Mus musculus: one gene and its partner. The protein of the gene in region 2 purifies or fractionates together with the protein of the main gene of each other region. This does not show direct contact. Links are inferred from orthologs where the notes say so. Each region holds a gene or a part of one and is shown on either strand. Other genes may lie near its edges.

Region 1 (3,949 bases), on a different chromosome or scaffold from region 2:
CTGTTTTGTTCTGTCTTGTTTCGGGGCCCTCGGTTTCTCAGATTTGGCTGGGCTGGCTCACTAGCCAGACCCAGCTCTCCTCGATCTCAACATCTCTAGCATGCACCACCATGTCCAACAGTTTCTATGTGGGATCTGAGGATCAAACTCACATCATTTAATAGGCAAGTACTTTGCTAACTAAGGAATCACGGTTCTCCTGAACTCTCACAGCCCAAGAATCCCTTGGATCCAAGCTCTCTCTCTCAGTAACCATCAAACCCTCATCTGACTCCACCCTCCCATCTTCTCTTCAGACTGTTTCTCCAGGCATCCATGATGGTAAAAAAAATCAAACTACACTAAAGGCTAAACATGTACTTGCAGTCTGCTGCTAACACAGCAGCAAGCACTTAGTGGCCATGTGCTAGAGCAACCTGATATTCGATAAACTTGGGTCAGGTATACTCTGACCTAATGCAACAAAAATTCAAGAACAAACTGGGCTCAGTTTAGGCTATACACATGGGGCTTGCAAATTACCCTGAGAAGGATGCTCAGAAAGCAGTATATTAAAACGAAAAGGGATGCTTTCATCATCGGAACTATCCTCTCCTATTGTGGTCACCTAATGAGGACTCATTGGGCCCAGAATAGTCCTGCCACTCTTGAAGGGACAGTTCAATGCCAGAAGCTCTGCACGAGCCCCTTGAACACTCCGTTTCATTAGTTCATACTAGTCAGAATGCAGAACAGACTTTGGAATCGGGAAGCTTGGACTTAAGTACTGATTTATCATCGACCCCAGACCATTCGTTTCGGCTGAGCTTCAGGGTCCCACGTGTAACCGTGGGAGAGAAGCAGCCCCTCATAGAACCACCTTTCACTCAGTGCTTTGACAAATGCCACTCTGCTCTAACTATATGTCGAAATGCAGTTTGCCCAAAGTGAGAAGCAATCTGGGTGTAAAAATTCATACCAGATGCCAAAGATGAAAGGTTAAAAGATAAAAATACCTTATCAACAAGTTTTCCTATAGAGTTTGCTAGAATCACATATGGAAATATTAAACTAAATAATCTATGTGATTAATTCACCTGCTTCCAAAGGTGCTATGTCCAGGTAAGGCACCAGCTGAACAGGCGTGAGAGGCCCTGGGATCAACCTCCAGCACCAACCACAAAGAAAGGAATTTCACTTGTTTCTTTTTCTTTTCTTTTTTAAATTGTGACTACCAGAAAGCTTTTGATGATGATGTTATTTGAAAGTTACTGTTGGTTTGGTTTTTCCAGACAGGGTTTCTCTGTATAGCCTTACCTATCCAGGAACTCTCTGTAGATTAGGCTGGCCTTAAAGTCTCGGATCCACCTGAATGCTGGGATTAAAGGCATATGCTACCATGCCCAGTTCACGACTAAGTTTTTAATTAAATATACATCCTAGGTTGTATTTCTATGCTGGTCACTGTCAACCACGTTAGGACAGAGACAGGTCAGGGGAGCTAGAGAGCCCAGTACAGAGAGCCCAGACAAGGGTGGGACCGTCAGTGTGGATCTCCTAGCAGTGGAACCTGGATGTAAATAAGGGACACAGCAGAAACAGCAGGTACCCAAGCCTGAGAACAAGGAACAACTCAGTAAGATCGTTCCTGACCGAGCTTGGCAGTCAGGCACAGGGTAGAGGGCTTGGAGAAGAGACAGGGTTGGGAAGGGGTGGGGTGGGGGGTGGGGAGGCTAGAGAGGCAGATGCAGCCAATTATAGAGAAACTTGGAAGCCACAGTAGAGAACTTCATCCTGAAGATGACAAGGCACCTGGAGGGCCTAGGGCAGATTAAGAGATGAATGAGCAGGTATGAATGCAGCATCTGTCCAGTCAAGGCTGAGAGAGAAAGGAGGAGAGCATTAGCAGATCTCCTAGTTTAGTTCTCATGCCATCCGCCCGCTCTAAATGCCCCAAATAATCCAATTTCTGGTCCCAGGGGATCTGAAGAGAAGCCACAACTTGTAATAGTGGTAGTCATCATCCTTTTCACCACGGTTGAATGTCAGCCAATACAACTGCTGGGTAGCCATTGCTTCTTTTCATTCTCATCCCGTTTTTGGTGAGTGCACATCGGCGTTAGTACACTTTTCAGTGGGGAAGTCAACTTACCAAGGTCACCTACGTGGTCAGGGTATAGGCCGTTTTTTTAATTAAATTTTGTCCATCTCTAGCCAAGGCTCCACAGAACTTTGTCCCGTGACCCCATAAACAAAGTCTAAAATAACAACTACACTCCCCATAATGAATGCAAAGCCCCAAACAAGAATCAACCACCTAAGTGCTCTGATGTCCAGTTCCAGCCACCCCCTACTAATTAGACCCATCTCCTCACACTCTTTCAAAAAGCCCCCCTGCCTAGCCTACACATCGTCCTCAAAGTACTCCAGAACACACAACACACAGTCCAATGTAGTGCTGGCTGGACACCCAGGTCCCACCACACTCGGGGCGCAGCCGAGACCATCCCCAAGCAAACCGAAGGCCTCCAGGGAGTGAGTCGCCATCAACGGGAACCCCAACCCAGGTACCACGAATCCCAAAGCCAGGGCCACACCTGCAACCGCTGAGGGTCCCAGGCAGGGCGCCTTCCTCTTCCATCCCCGAGTCCATCGTGAACGCAGAGTGGTGGCGCCGGTGTCGGCGGCGGCAGCGCCACTGGTTCCCCGGCAGTCGCGGCGCGCTCGGTTCCCCAGGTCCCGCCCCCTCCAACCCAGCTCTTGTTCTCAGTCAAGCGGCGCCGCTGGAATTCAAACCGCAGCCGCCGCCATCTTTCCCGGCGCTTCTTCCTACGGAAACAAGGCGGGGTCACCCAGGCACGCGCGGTGAAGCCGCCCTGCAACGACCCGAAACCGGGCAAGAAGAGCTTTGCCTGGACGCCATCTTAACTCAGGGCAGAACCTGCGCACTCCAGCGTGCAACACTAGGAGAAAAGAAGCGGTAGCCATGTTTCGTGGGTGAGGGCATTCGGGCCGAAGCCAAGGCGAGCGCCATATTTGTTGAGGGTAAAAGTCCGCCGGGATCAGTTAATTTAAGCGGGAGGTGGAACAGCTCAGAGTATCAATCTGTTTGGTGTTCCAGACTCATGACTCCAAAATCGCTCCTTAGGCTCTTTCTACCCAAAAGGCTCTGCCTTAAGTTGAGACTCAGATAATTGAGTTCTGCTTCGATTTAGAAAAATACCACCTGTGGAGCGCTATTACAAACGGTAGTTTACAGGGTTAGTTTCAAGCGGCATGCCTATAAAGGGGTCACCCATACTTCATGTGCATTTTGTTACTATTAGGACTCATGCACCAGCAATCAGTAAACAGAGACTCAGAGAGAAGAAATTACTTGCCCAAAGTAATAAACAAGTTTACTATCCACTAAAACCAGATCCTTAGCTCCTCGTATCAACATCTCAGCACTCTGGAACCATGTTTTAACCTTCTTGGCCAGTGAATGTATTCTAAGAAGAGACATTTCTCCCCTCCCAAACAAAGGTCCAGATTAAATTGGAATTTCAGCTTTTCCTGCCTTGAAACTCCTCCCACTCTCAGGAGTTTTTGTCACTTTTCTTTAATAAATCTACCCAGGAATAAGGAAGGGGAGGGGAGGGTTGGGGAAGACTGGAGAGGAGAAGGCTTGGATGTGGAACAGTGGTCCCTGGCAGTAAACCTGTTCTGTCACATCCCTTTGACTGGACAATCTGCAAGTTATTTTTTGTAAGAATAACCTGAGATAACTTTAGGAATTCTTTCAATAATAATTCTCATGTCCCTACAACCCTAAACACTCTTTCTTTGCAAACTGGCAATAAACAGAGATATGATTTGAGCCCAGGTCCTTCTAAACCCCAACGCCCTAAATGGTGCACACAGGCTATATTCCACAAGTATTCTGTTCTTTTTCCAACTTAGAACTTAAAGTTCAGACATGCGATCTATA
Region 2 (11,373 bases):
CAGGGCTACACAGAGAAACCCTGCCTTGAAAAAAACCAAAAGAAAAAAAAAAGACAAGAATGTTTTTACAACAACGACAATAACAAAACCAATTTTTAAAGCAGTTCACGCTGGTTTTCCTGTCTACACAGCACTGCATGCTCATAGGTTAGTGAAAATATGCTATGGAAGGACTATCTTTCTCTGTACGCCCTGCGTCCTGCTGTGACAGTCTGTAGAAAGACGAAATACAGGCTTACCTCATGCTTGCTTATGGTGTAGCAAAGTGATTGGTGGCCAAAAGCAGCCAGTGCTCCATTCGACCATTCCAGGACAGCTGGACAGCTAAAGATTTTTGCCATTTGTACAATTCAGAAAAACCTGATTCTGAGATCGTCTTTTAGATTGTACGTGCATGCTGATTTCCTATTGAGAATGCTTTTCTAATCATCAAAAGTTTCATGTGTACAATTATAAGTGATCATTAGCATTAACTAATCAATAACCATACTTGTAAAGCATAATTACCTAGAAACCCCCACCGCCGTATCAATCCTGCATATGTGTCTAGTGACCAGCATGAATGACAAAAGTAACTAGGCATAATTTGGTGCTGTCTTTGAACATTATTTTCAATCACGGGTCTCTAATAATAGGGCAGACAAATAATAATTGCTAAGTGAGCAGTATAAACAAACCATAATGATAGCATGGAAAGGATAAGAAATTCAAAATTGCTGATCATGGTTTCTATAAACAACTGATTTACTTTCCTCTTAAAATGGACAGAGAAAAAAAGAGATGACTTTTTTTAAAAAAAATTTACTTATCGTCAGGATGTTGTGAGGGTATACATAACTTCCTTTTATGTATGCGTGTATGCATGTTCACATAACGTGGACACACCTGTGTGTGGAGGCACACATGTGTTAGCATGTGCAGGCTCCACACTGATGTTAGGAGTCTCCCTCCATCATTTCCAACCTTCTATGAGGCAGCGTGACTTGATGAACCTCGAGTTCTTAGTTTCTACCCTCTGGCTCACCTCTCCTGGCTAGTGAGCTTGCTCTCAGGATTCCACCTCTTCCTCCTTCCCTGGTAGCCAGCATCCCCAGTCTTGTGAGCAGGCTGTAGAAACACTAACCTGGTCCCCAAGTTTGCCAAGTAAGAACTTTACCTGATGAGCCATCTCTTAAGATCCCACGTTTCTAAGAGGTGCCAACGGCCTCTTTTCCAAATGAGTGATAAATGAAAGATTCTCTCTTACTAGAGACTCCTGATTGAAAATAATGTTAAGGGAAGAGAAAAATCATACACACTTTTATCATTTAAGCTAGTCTTCAGGCCTGTATACATAGTAAAAGTCACTGTTAGGGAGGCAACAGGAGTATTCTAAGGGGTCTAGGAAGGTCCTTCCCAGACAAAGTCGATAACATTTGGAGTGTATGTGATTTTTAGTAGACTTTTAACGTATACAAAACTCACATTCACAAAGCTAAAACTGGAAAAGGGTGTGATATCACTGGGTGCTGACAAAACCTCATATTCTGTGGTCTACTTGTTTTCTTTTCTCCACCACTCACGCCCCCGTCTCTCTTTGAGACAGAGTCTGTGTAACCCTGGCTACCCTGGAGCTCACTATGTGGACAAGGCTGACCTTGAACTCAGAGATCCACCTGTCTCTGCTTCCTCACTCTGGGATTATCGGTATGGGCCCAGTGTTCCCTTAGTATTGGTATTCTGTTTGTATTTAGTGGAAACTTAGGAAACAATATACCCAACATTCTCACGGACTAAACTAATTGTCTATCTTTCCAATTCAGTGACATTTCATATGGAGGGGATGCAATTCACCACAACACAGATGTCTGTCTGACTTACAGTAGAAACAAAAGCCACACCTTTTCCCATTAATTTATTCATTTTACATCCTGATTGCTCCCCCATCCCAGTCTCCTCTCACACAGTCCCTCTGCCCATCCCCTCCCCTTCACATCTCAGAGGGTGAGCCCCCCCCAGTATCCTCCCCACTCCCCTCCCCCGACCCTGGCACATCAAGTCTCTGTAGGGTCAGGTGTATCCTCTCCCACTGAGGTCAGACAAGGCATCCTAGTTAGGGAAACAGGATCCACAAACAGGCAATAGATTTAGGGACAGCCCCCTTTCCAGTTGTTGGGGGACCCACATGAAGATTGAGCCCATACTTGGAGCCCAGCTGCTTATCAGAGAGACAGAACACTTCTATCTGTCTTAATTAGGGTTTTATTACTGTGAAGAGACACTATGACCAAGGCAACTTTTATAAAGGACACTTAATTAGGGCTGGCTTACAATCTTAGAGGTTTAGTCCAATATCATCATAGTGGGAAGCATGGTAGCACGCAGGCAGAAAAGGTGACGGAGCTGAGAGCTCTACATCTTGATTCAGAGGCAGCAAGGAGGGACTGTGTCACTGACCTTAGCTTGAGCATAGGAAACCTCAAAGCCCACCCCCACAAGGCCACACTTCCTCCAAGGCTCCACTTCCTAATAGAGCCACTCCCTATGGCCAAGCATTCAAACACACGAGTCTATGGATGTGATGCCTATTCAAACCACCACACTATCCCACTTCAGTTTTTGTGGGGGGTTCTTTGGTTGTATCTAGGAATCCAAAACGCCAGAGCTGATTAGCCAGAGAAACAGGTAAATTATCAATTTTACAAGTACTTGAAGATCTTCACAAATAGTAAAGTCTGAAGAAGTGACTGATACAGTATATATATATCGATGATAGTGCACTAAGTTCCTGGCATAGTCTGAAGAGATATATATGTAGGGGTATGTTTGAGAGTTATGTCACAGTTTATTCCAGTTCGTGGTATCCCCCAATTAATAGTATCTGGTGACTAAGGTTATTTTCTTATCTTGGTATGTAAAGGACATTTTCCCCACACAATATGGCTTGTTGAAATGAAAGAGCACCAATGGTCTATTCTGAAGTTATAACCTTTCAATTGATTTTAAATAGAAATAATAAATATACCATTCTGGCGCTTTTTGAGATGGTATGGCTTTACCTTCTTCATTTCAAGGTCTTCTAATTAGCTTTGGATAAGTCCTTTAATGTCTCTGTGCCTCTGTGGATCTTAAGTAAAACAATGATAGTCTTGCCACATTTGCATAGGGACTTTATGAGGAAACTAATTACTATTTGTACAACACTTAGAACGCAGTATACTTGGTGTACATGCTTGGTAATTTAACATAATTGCCAATAATAGAAGTATGAATCTGTTTAGAATCTTCCACTCACCGCTACTTTTTTTCCCCAATAACAAAACTTTTAAAATGTTCTGGGAAATCTCCTTAGCAGCCAACAACCATCCGTTCATTACGCGCCAACTGTGGTTTGTGCTGCAGACACAAAATAAACTTACATGGTCTCTGCCCTTCCAGAAGTTAATCTTTCTGTTCTAAATTTGGAATGCTTTTTTTTTAGATAGCAAAAGCTCAAAAAAAAAAAAAAAAAAAAAAAAACCAGAACAAAAACTACCAGAGGGCTAGGTGATTAATTTCTAATAACCTCACGGAAAAGCTCAAGTACTCTCAGATGCATGGAAGCGCAACAATCAATTGGGAATGCGTTTATTTTGAAATTTGTGACTGTGTTGATGCACATAACGTACTTGTGTAAAACAGGCAACACATTCCCATATCTCTCCTTAGAAAGCCTGACAGAATTTGTGAGGGCAATCAGGTGAGACCATGAAGAAGGAACTCGGGAAGGGATAAGCTGTCAAGAATGTTGGTGATTGACCTGGTGTGTTGGGAGAATACCTAGAAGAGCGAAGGGAAGAAGTTCCAATGACAGCTGGGAGCTGAGAAAAGACATTCCTGGCCAACGCTGACCTCAGGGTCAGCAGGGTCGGCAGGACGCGGAGGGGCGCACGCACGTCCCTGCAGCCACGCAGGAAGATCAAGCGAGAGCAACCACGGCGTGCGGAACGCGGGCCACACGGATGCGGGAGCAGGCCGAGCCCTGGCACTGTGCCCCCCGCCCGGCTCTGGGGCACCGGATGCCAGGCCGAGGAAGGATCTGGGGTGCTTCCAAACTAACGGTCCCCACGTCCCTCGCTACTTCGAGCTTAGCCTCCGCGGCCAAGCCCAGCATCCACGCAACAAGCAATAAGTTACCGCTACAACCCTGCACAGAGGGGCTCCCGCCCGCCGGGGGGCTTGACCGCGTCACTTCCGGCGCGCCCGCCCGGAAAGAGGCGGAGGTCGCAGTCCGGGTGTGCGGCTCCTGGGGACGCGCCGTGTCGGGGACGCGCGTGGAGGGCGGGCTCGGGAAGGGGGAGTGTCCGCGCGCCGCCGCTGCCGCCGCCGCCACCGCCGCCACCGCCGCCACCGCCACGGTCCCGGTCTCTGCCGGAGAGCTCTCAGCATCTCTCCCGGACACCCAGCCCCTCCGTGCAGCCGGACGCCGCGCTCTAGGGTCTGCGGGAGCCTAGCCAAAGCCTAGCCAAAGTTGCTGCCGACTGCGGGGCGGGCGGCGGGACGGCCCCGGTCCCCTCCCCTCCGTCATCCCTGCTTGCGGACTCCCGGGTCATGGGGAACACTGCGATCGCCAAGAAAGGCAGCGAAGTGGAGAGCGGTGAGTCGAGTCGAAGGCCCTGGCTGGGTTCCCGCCGGATGGGCCGCCGCGCGGTGCAGCGCCCTGGGCCGGTGTCCCCCCCAAGGCCGCGCGCGAGCCACGGGCCGGGCCTTGCAGTGGCCGCGGGGGCCGGCCGCCTCCTCCTCTGTCCCCTCCCCCACGAAGGCTCGGGGGTGAGGGCCAAGCCCCGGGGCTCACTGGAGAGAGGGAAGGCGGGCAGCGAGGTCCCTGTGATCCCCTTTCTTACTAGAGCGAGGAGGGCTGCCACGGTCTGGAACGCGTCCCCAAATATGGTCCTTTTGTGATCGCACCCTTAGCTCTTCTTTCTCCCAGAGCCCCCAACACCCAGACCCTCCTTTAAGGGAGCCACAGGTAGTACGTTTGGGTTGACTTGGCTTTTTCTCCTTCTCCTGGATGTATATCAGTTTTCTCACAAGGTGAGTGTCCGTGAGGGTCTCCAAAGGTGACGTTAACCCTTAGTGTCTAAGGCTCTTTCTTTCACCCAAGAGATTAGAGATGGCAGACATAAATACAAGCAGCAACTTTATCCATTCGAGGAAAAATAAGTGAGACAGCGTTGCGTTTACTCTAGACATCCAGGAATGTTCCAGGATGCCTGTAAAACTTAGAGGCATTTCAGAGTTGAAGTGCTTTCTTCCGAGAGCTGAAAGTTCAGACGTTCAGTACTGTGTACAAAATTTCAAGACAAAAGGGTCGTGGGAATTGAGTTTCTGTGTAGCAACTTGGTTTTATATGTAAGCATACACATATATGCGTGTTGTGTAACAGGCTGTGAGAAAATTGTGTGCCATTATTCGGCTCATATTATAATTTATAATTCACAATAATTAGAGAACGGTCCCTGACTTTTGTTACATTGCCATAGGTTAATGACATCTCAGTCCTTGAAGTAAGTCTGACAATTTGTTCGTGTTACTGTAAGTAACGTCTTCCATTGTGTCTGTGTTTATAACAGAAGAATGAAGCCAATCTTGTAATTAGCTTGAAGCAAACAGCTTTTGATTCTCATGAACAAAGCAGAGTTGAGTTGACAGAAGAGAGTCTAGCTATTGCTTTTGTGGAATGTAAACAACAGTCAGATTTAACGGGTTATGTTTCATCAATAAGGTTCGTTCCAGGGCATGGAACAGCAGGGCAAACTGTTGGTGAGCATGTGACAACTTGAAAAGCCGATGTAGAATTAGGACTTCCTTGTTATCTTAGTAATTGTGCAAATGTAGTAACTAATTGTACAGACTCACAAAAAATGAAGTATGACAAAATACTATATCCATGTAACATTGCTTTTCCCCTATTTCTCTTGTACAATGTATGCTAATTGTGTTATGAAAATATGCTTGATAGTTGGATCAGCCCAGTAATTTTCTTAGCAAGTGCTATCTTGCACAGTTCTTATATTTTTAATGATAGTCCACTCTCCAGCAGTCTATACACTTCCCCTAGACGATATGCATTTAAACTAGCAGCTATGACAAAGTCTTGTGTGAACTTATTTATAGAAACTGAAGAACATTAGAATCATTTGAAAAATATTGTGAAGTGTCGAAAGAAGACAGCAGATGTCCCATGGGATATAGGAGACGGTCATGGCTCAGCTCTCAGGGCTCACAGGGGGAAGTGTCAGCCAGGTGTGCTGGTGCTCTTCTGTAGCAAAGAAGTGGTACAATGTCATAAAACGTAATGACAGAACATGGCTTACCACTCTGTCCCCAACTCTTCTGTGTACTTTTCAGATGAATTATTCCTGAAAATTTGTGGCTCATATTTTAAATGTAATCATTTAAATTTCTCTTGATACACAGAATACACTTTAAGAGATACACTTAAGAGTTTAGTCTACGAAATCATCCTAACTCAAGACCCAACCAAGTGCCAGACCTGAAGAAACAAGAATTGAGATCATGTTATCAACGAGAGAGTAAAGAACAGCTCTGAGGCTCTGACTACCTCTGCATCACTAATTAATCTGTCCTCTCTCAGAGTAGCTACCACCTGCTTGGGTTTCCTCGTAGACCTGTGGACAAGATCCTAAAGTGTCACTTACTGTGTAGCATCAGGTGAAAGGCAGAGTGTCAGTGCTGGAGCTGAGAGTAAATTAGACCACAAGACGTTACCAGCAGCACAGTGTTTGGTTTGAAGAGCTAATTAAAGATAGGAAGGTAAGATTTGCAGTTTGATGAGGAAGTGCCTCCCACAGACAGGGAATTCTAGAGCTTAATTCTAAAAATACTCCCAAGGAATGAAGTTGGGTATAAAGGTAAATGAACAGGCTTTGGGGGGTTGTTTTTGTTTTGTTTGGGGGAGGTTGTTTTGTTTGGGTGTTTTTTTTTTTTTGTTTTGTTGTGTTTTTGTCAGTGTTGTTTTAGTTTGCTTTGGTTTGCTTTGGTTTTGTTTCTTGTTAGCTTTGAGCACCCAGGGCCTTGCTCCTACACCCACAAAATTAAAGGATTCCATTCTGATCATCACAGTTTCTAGACATAAATTACTTTGAATTCCTCAGAGAACTGGGTGTTTCAAAGAACAACTTTCGCCATTATATAAGTCTCCCATGTGTTTTTAAAATTACTCTTGAAATAAATGTCTTCCAAAATTTGAGTATACTTATTTTTCATCATTTAATACACAGAACCTTAAACTTTTAGAAACAGGAGGCTACAAGTCTCAGAGATGTGTTCAATCCTTGTAAGTCAAGAATGTTTTATTTTTGAGTTAAGTATGTTATTCACATAGCCTTATTAATACAAAAAGAAAAACAAGCAAACAAAAAAACTCCATGCTTTTTGTTCTTTTAAAAAATATATTACATCTCCAAGCTGTCTGTGGAGCTATGTATTACAGATGTAACTATGTCCAGGTCAATGGGTGAAAACTGCTGGGCGTTAATTCTCCCATGAGTAGAGTAGGAAAGCCACCCTCTACCCCAGTGGTTATATAATGGTTTTTGGAAATGACCTTGAAGCTTAGACTGGGTGAGGTGGCACACACCTTAAATCCCAACACTGGAGAGGCAGAAGGCTGATCTCTTTGAGTTCAAGGCTAGCCTGCTCTATACAAAGTTGAGGCCAGCAATAGTGGCATTGTGAGATATTGCCTCAAAAGAAAGAGAAAAGGAAAAAGAGACCTTGAGAGTAGGAAGAAACTGATCAAAGAAAGTCATTAGTAGATCAAGTTCAGCAAATGCAAACTTCTTAACGTTTTGGAGAACTAATCTGGCACTTGGCACACATTGCCATACATACATTTCAAACCCTGTGGAATGGCTCTGATGTTACCCCATTTTCAAACTGGATAAAGAAGTGCTGTGTAACTTGTTAAAGGTTGCATAGTAGTTAATCAGGGAGTGACATTTGAACTTGGGCAGGCTAGTCTCAGAGCCTCTGACCGAAGGGTCCTGCTGAGCAGTCTTTTTTGAGTACCCAGCTGAAAGTCAGGTTCAGGACACACAGAATAGCCAATTCATCGTTTAAGTTTATCAGTGATAACACACTGTGTTGCTTCCAATGATGACTCTATTTGGATAGGCTAACTATCTTAAATACGAAAGATTATCATTCCTGTACCATTTTCTGGATTCATATCATCATCTAAAACTGGGAGGAAGGGCTAAATTACTTTCTTTAATTATTTCATTTTCAATTTGGTAAAATGACAAATTAACCATATATAATTAACTTTCTGCTCTTAAAACCTTCATTGCTATATAGTTTATTCCTCATTTCTAACGTGTACCTTCCTGTTAGGTAGCAAGTCAAGAGGCCACTTGAGCTTACATTGCTATTATTAATGAATTTGGAATTTTGCATCGTACCATGATTTTTCAATCGACGATAGATATGGTCTCCACTTCGCTGCTCCGTGAAATGGTTTCTAACTAGATAGAGCTGTTGGGAATTTGGAATACAGCTGCACCACTGAAGAAATGATATTTTACCTTGCATTTGTCTAGATGGTGTTTGGTAGATTGACAGCCTGTTTTTGACAAGAGCTGTCTTTACATATAATAAAAACGCCAACCAACCCTTATTCTATAATTTTGGTAATTTGGTAATAATCATGAGTGTATTTAGATGAACAAAATTCTAGATATATGTTTTCTCAAAATCATCAGCATTTCTTATAAATAACAATTTATAAACATAGTGAACAAATTAAGATGTAGTAATTTGATATACTCACAAAGTTCCCTTTGGTGGAACTTAGTTATGAATATAAGTATATATATTTGATTGAAAATTTTTTAGGATCATTTGTTGACAAATGAATTTAGTTTTCTCTTGCTTCTTATGTCTTTGAACTTTTTATTTATCAGATTGACAAGTTTCTTAAAGGGTAATTAGAAGTAGAGAGTTGTCAGTTAACTGGCAGAGGTACTTGAAAATAGTCTTCTTTGGGTTAAAAGAGAAAAATCAGAATTATGAACTCGGCTTTGACTGATAAGCACATATGATCTCATTATTTCTGATTTTTATTTTTGTGTGGATTACTGTTTAGAATCATCTCCCATTTGGGAGTCATTTGTCCTGTTCCACTCAGGCTCCTCCGCAGGACACAGGCAGATTGCTGCTTCTCACTGCTGGCATCAAGAAAGCGGCTTGGGTAGATCAGTCATGGCTAAGAGGTAGAAACAGCCGGGAACGAGAGGCTGGGTAAGCCAGAATAGCTCAAGATTCTCATGGACAGTTAGAAGTTAACCACAACCAATTGTGATAGACCATCGAATTAACGAAGTAAAGCAATCATTATCATTTCTAAGTTTAAGACTACAGAGTCAGTTCAGTGAATAAACTGCAGACAGCAGGACCTGAGTTCACATCAGAACTCATGGAAAGCCAGACACAGTAGTGCACAGTTGTAATTTCTGTGCCTTTATGGTGAGAGGGAGGCCAGGCTAGGAGGATCCCTGGAAGTTAGCTTGTGTGTACTCTGCCCAAACAACAGAGGCCCTGTGTCAGACAAAGTGGAAGTTGCGGGCTGAGATTTTTCTTTGATCTCTGTTACACTCACATGCATATCGTGCACACTCACTCACTCACTCACTCACTCACTCATGCTCTTCCAAGACTATCTTGTAGTGGTGGCACACACCTGTAATACCAGGAATAGATGGGCTGAAGCAGGAGGATCATGAGTTATCAGCTCCCTCAGTCATATCACAGGAAACCTGGGCGCAGACATAAAATACTTTATAAAGCTTTTTTTCCTTGTTCTTCCATCCATTTACTCATTCATTTATTCAGTACACAGAAGTAAGCCTACGTGTTAGAGTATATGTGATGATGTAAAAATAAAGATGGGTTATATCCAATTCTAAAACAGCAACAACAAAAGTATTTCATGAAAGGTTAGCAGGGCAGCCAAGAGAAGGAATGGTCTTTTCCATTAAGACAGGGTCCAATAAAGACTTTCAAAGAGGTGGACCCTTAGTGGGATACTGAAATGAGAAATGTTTACCAAAGAGGCTATAGGAGAAAATCAAAGGATAGAAACAGCACACTATGTCACGATTAGAAAGACAATTGCCTGTTAGAACTAAATGGTAGACTCTGGAGTTGGTGATCAAGATTGTATAATGAAAGAACTCAGAAGACACGGGCCCCAGGGAAGACTAAGAATTTGATCCTAAAGACAACTACTACAGACTTTGAAGTCAGGGAAAGAGATTTGATAAAATTTCTGTTTTAAAAATAATTTGTTGACCTTGCTGTGGATATTTAGCTCTAGTGGCCTTTGGTGTGTTTTAGTGAATGGGATGCAGGCAATGAGTTGCTTTCCTGTAGCTCATATAATGAAAGGCTTGAATGTTCTATTATAAATTAGATTTACTGTTCTGTGTCTAAGCAAATGGTTTCGGGTTAAATTTAGGATTCTTTTAAAGACAGAAAAGTAGTAATTGAAATACTGCACTAGTTAGTTGAACTTAGTTCTGCCTTCGAAATCCAGTAGAGATGTGATGTCTTTTATCAGGCTTGCTGTAGTGAGGGATGGGCGTCATGCCCTATGGCTACACTGGAGATTCACATGTTGACTCTTTGGTGACTTCACAAAGCTTTTTCTTCTTCTAAGGCAGTTGTTGAATTTCAGTGTGAAAGTTTATGGCAGACCTAAACTTTTCCAAGTAGATATCGTCCTGAAAAATTGAGCCTTTGAGATTTGACTAATGGTCTCACTTTGTAAAATTTGTTTGTCGTTCTTTTTTAGTAGGTGACCACATAGGCATTCCTTGGCTTCTTTTATAAGGGCTGGCTCTCCTGGGAACTTAGCAGTCACGGATGTTCATGGGGAGAGTGTGTCTCCTCTCCAGCTGTAGCTGTGAGATAAATCATCCTGCAGCTCAGACTCACACAGAAAATGTCTGCATATTTGTCATTCTGTCCTCTGACGCTTCTCACTCAGGACTCCTGAGTGTCTGCTTCAGACTAGGCACTGCGCTTCGTATAGATGCAAAGAAAAGTGAGACTTGGTTCTTGTCCTCAAGCTGCAAGACTGCTACTCAGAACTGTCTGTGGCAAGTCATAGGACACATGGGCCTGGCCTCGGTGCTGGGCAGAAGTGAATTGTGGGGCTTTATATAGGGAAGAGTGTAGAGTTCCCGCGTGGTCTATAGTTGTCTGTTGAGTTCCCTGGGTCACTCCCCGCGTGGTCTATAGCTGCCTGCTGAGTCCCCTGGGTCACACCCTGTGTGCAGCACTCTGGTTACTGTGTTGCTCCGTTTGTTTCTCTACTGGGCAGCATGGTGT

Evidence for each region.
Region 1: the proteins of Prkacb (region 2) and Cdk5rap2 purify together in Homo sapiens (affinity purification with mass spectrometry; 4 studies listed by BioGRID and IntAct, counting the BioPlex papers as one, with this or other methods). This does not show direct contact. The link is inferred for Mus musculus from reciprocal best matches to the Homo sapiens genes PRKACB and CDK5RAP2.

The regions. Positions count from the first base shown.
Region 1 is NC_000070.6:70,407,636-70,411,584, forward strand, and holds the start of Cdk5rap2 (CDK5 regulatory subunit-associated protein 2), read right to left. Parts: upstream 2,801-3,949; 5' UTR 2,633-2,800; coding exon 2,577-2,632; intron 1-2,576. UniProt on the Homo sapiens protein: Potential regulator of CDK5 activity via its interaction with CDK5R1. Negative regulator of centriole disengagement (licensing) which maintains centriole engagement and cohesion. Involved in regulation of mitotic spindle orientation.
Region 2 is NC_000069.6:146,805,880-146,817,252, reverse strand, and holds the start of Prkacb (cAMP-dependent protein kinase catalytic subunit beta), read left to right. Parts: upstream 1-4,306; 5' UTR 4,307-4,569; coding exon 4,570-4,615; intron 4,616-4,622; exon of another isoform or gene 4,623-5,052; intron 5,053-11,373. UniProt on the Homo sapiens protein: Mediates cAMP-dependent signaling triggered by receptor binding to GPCRs.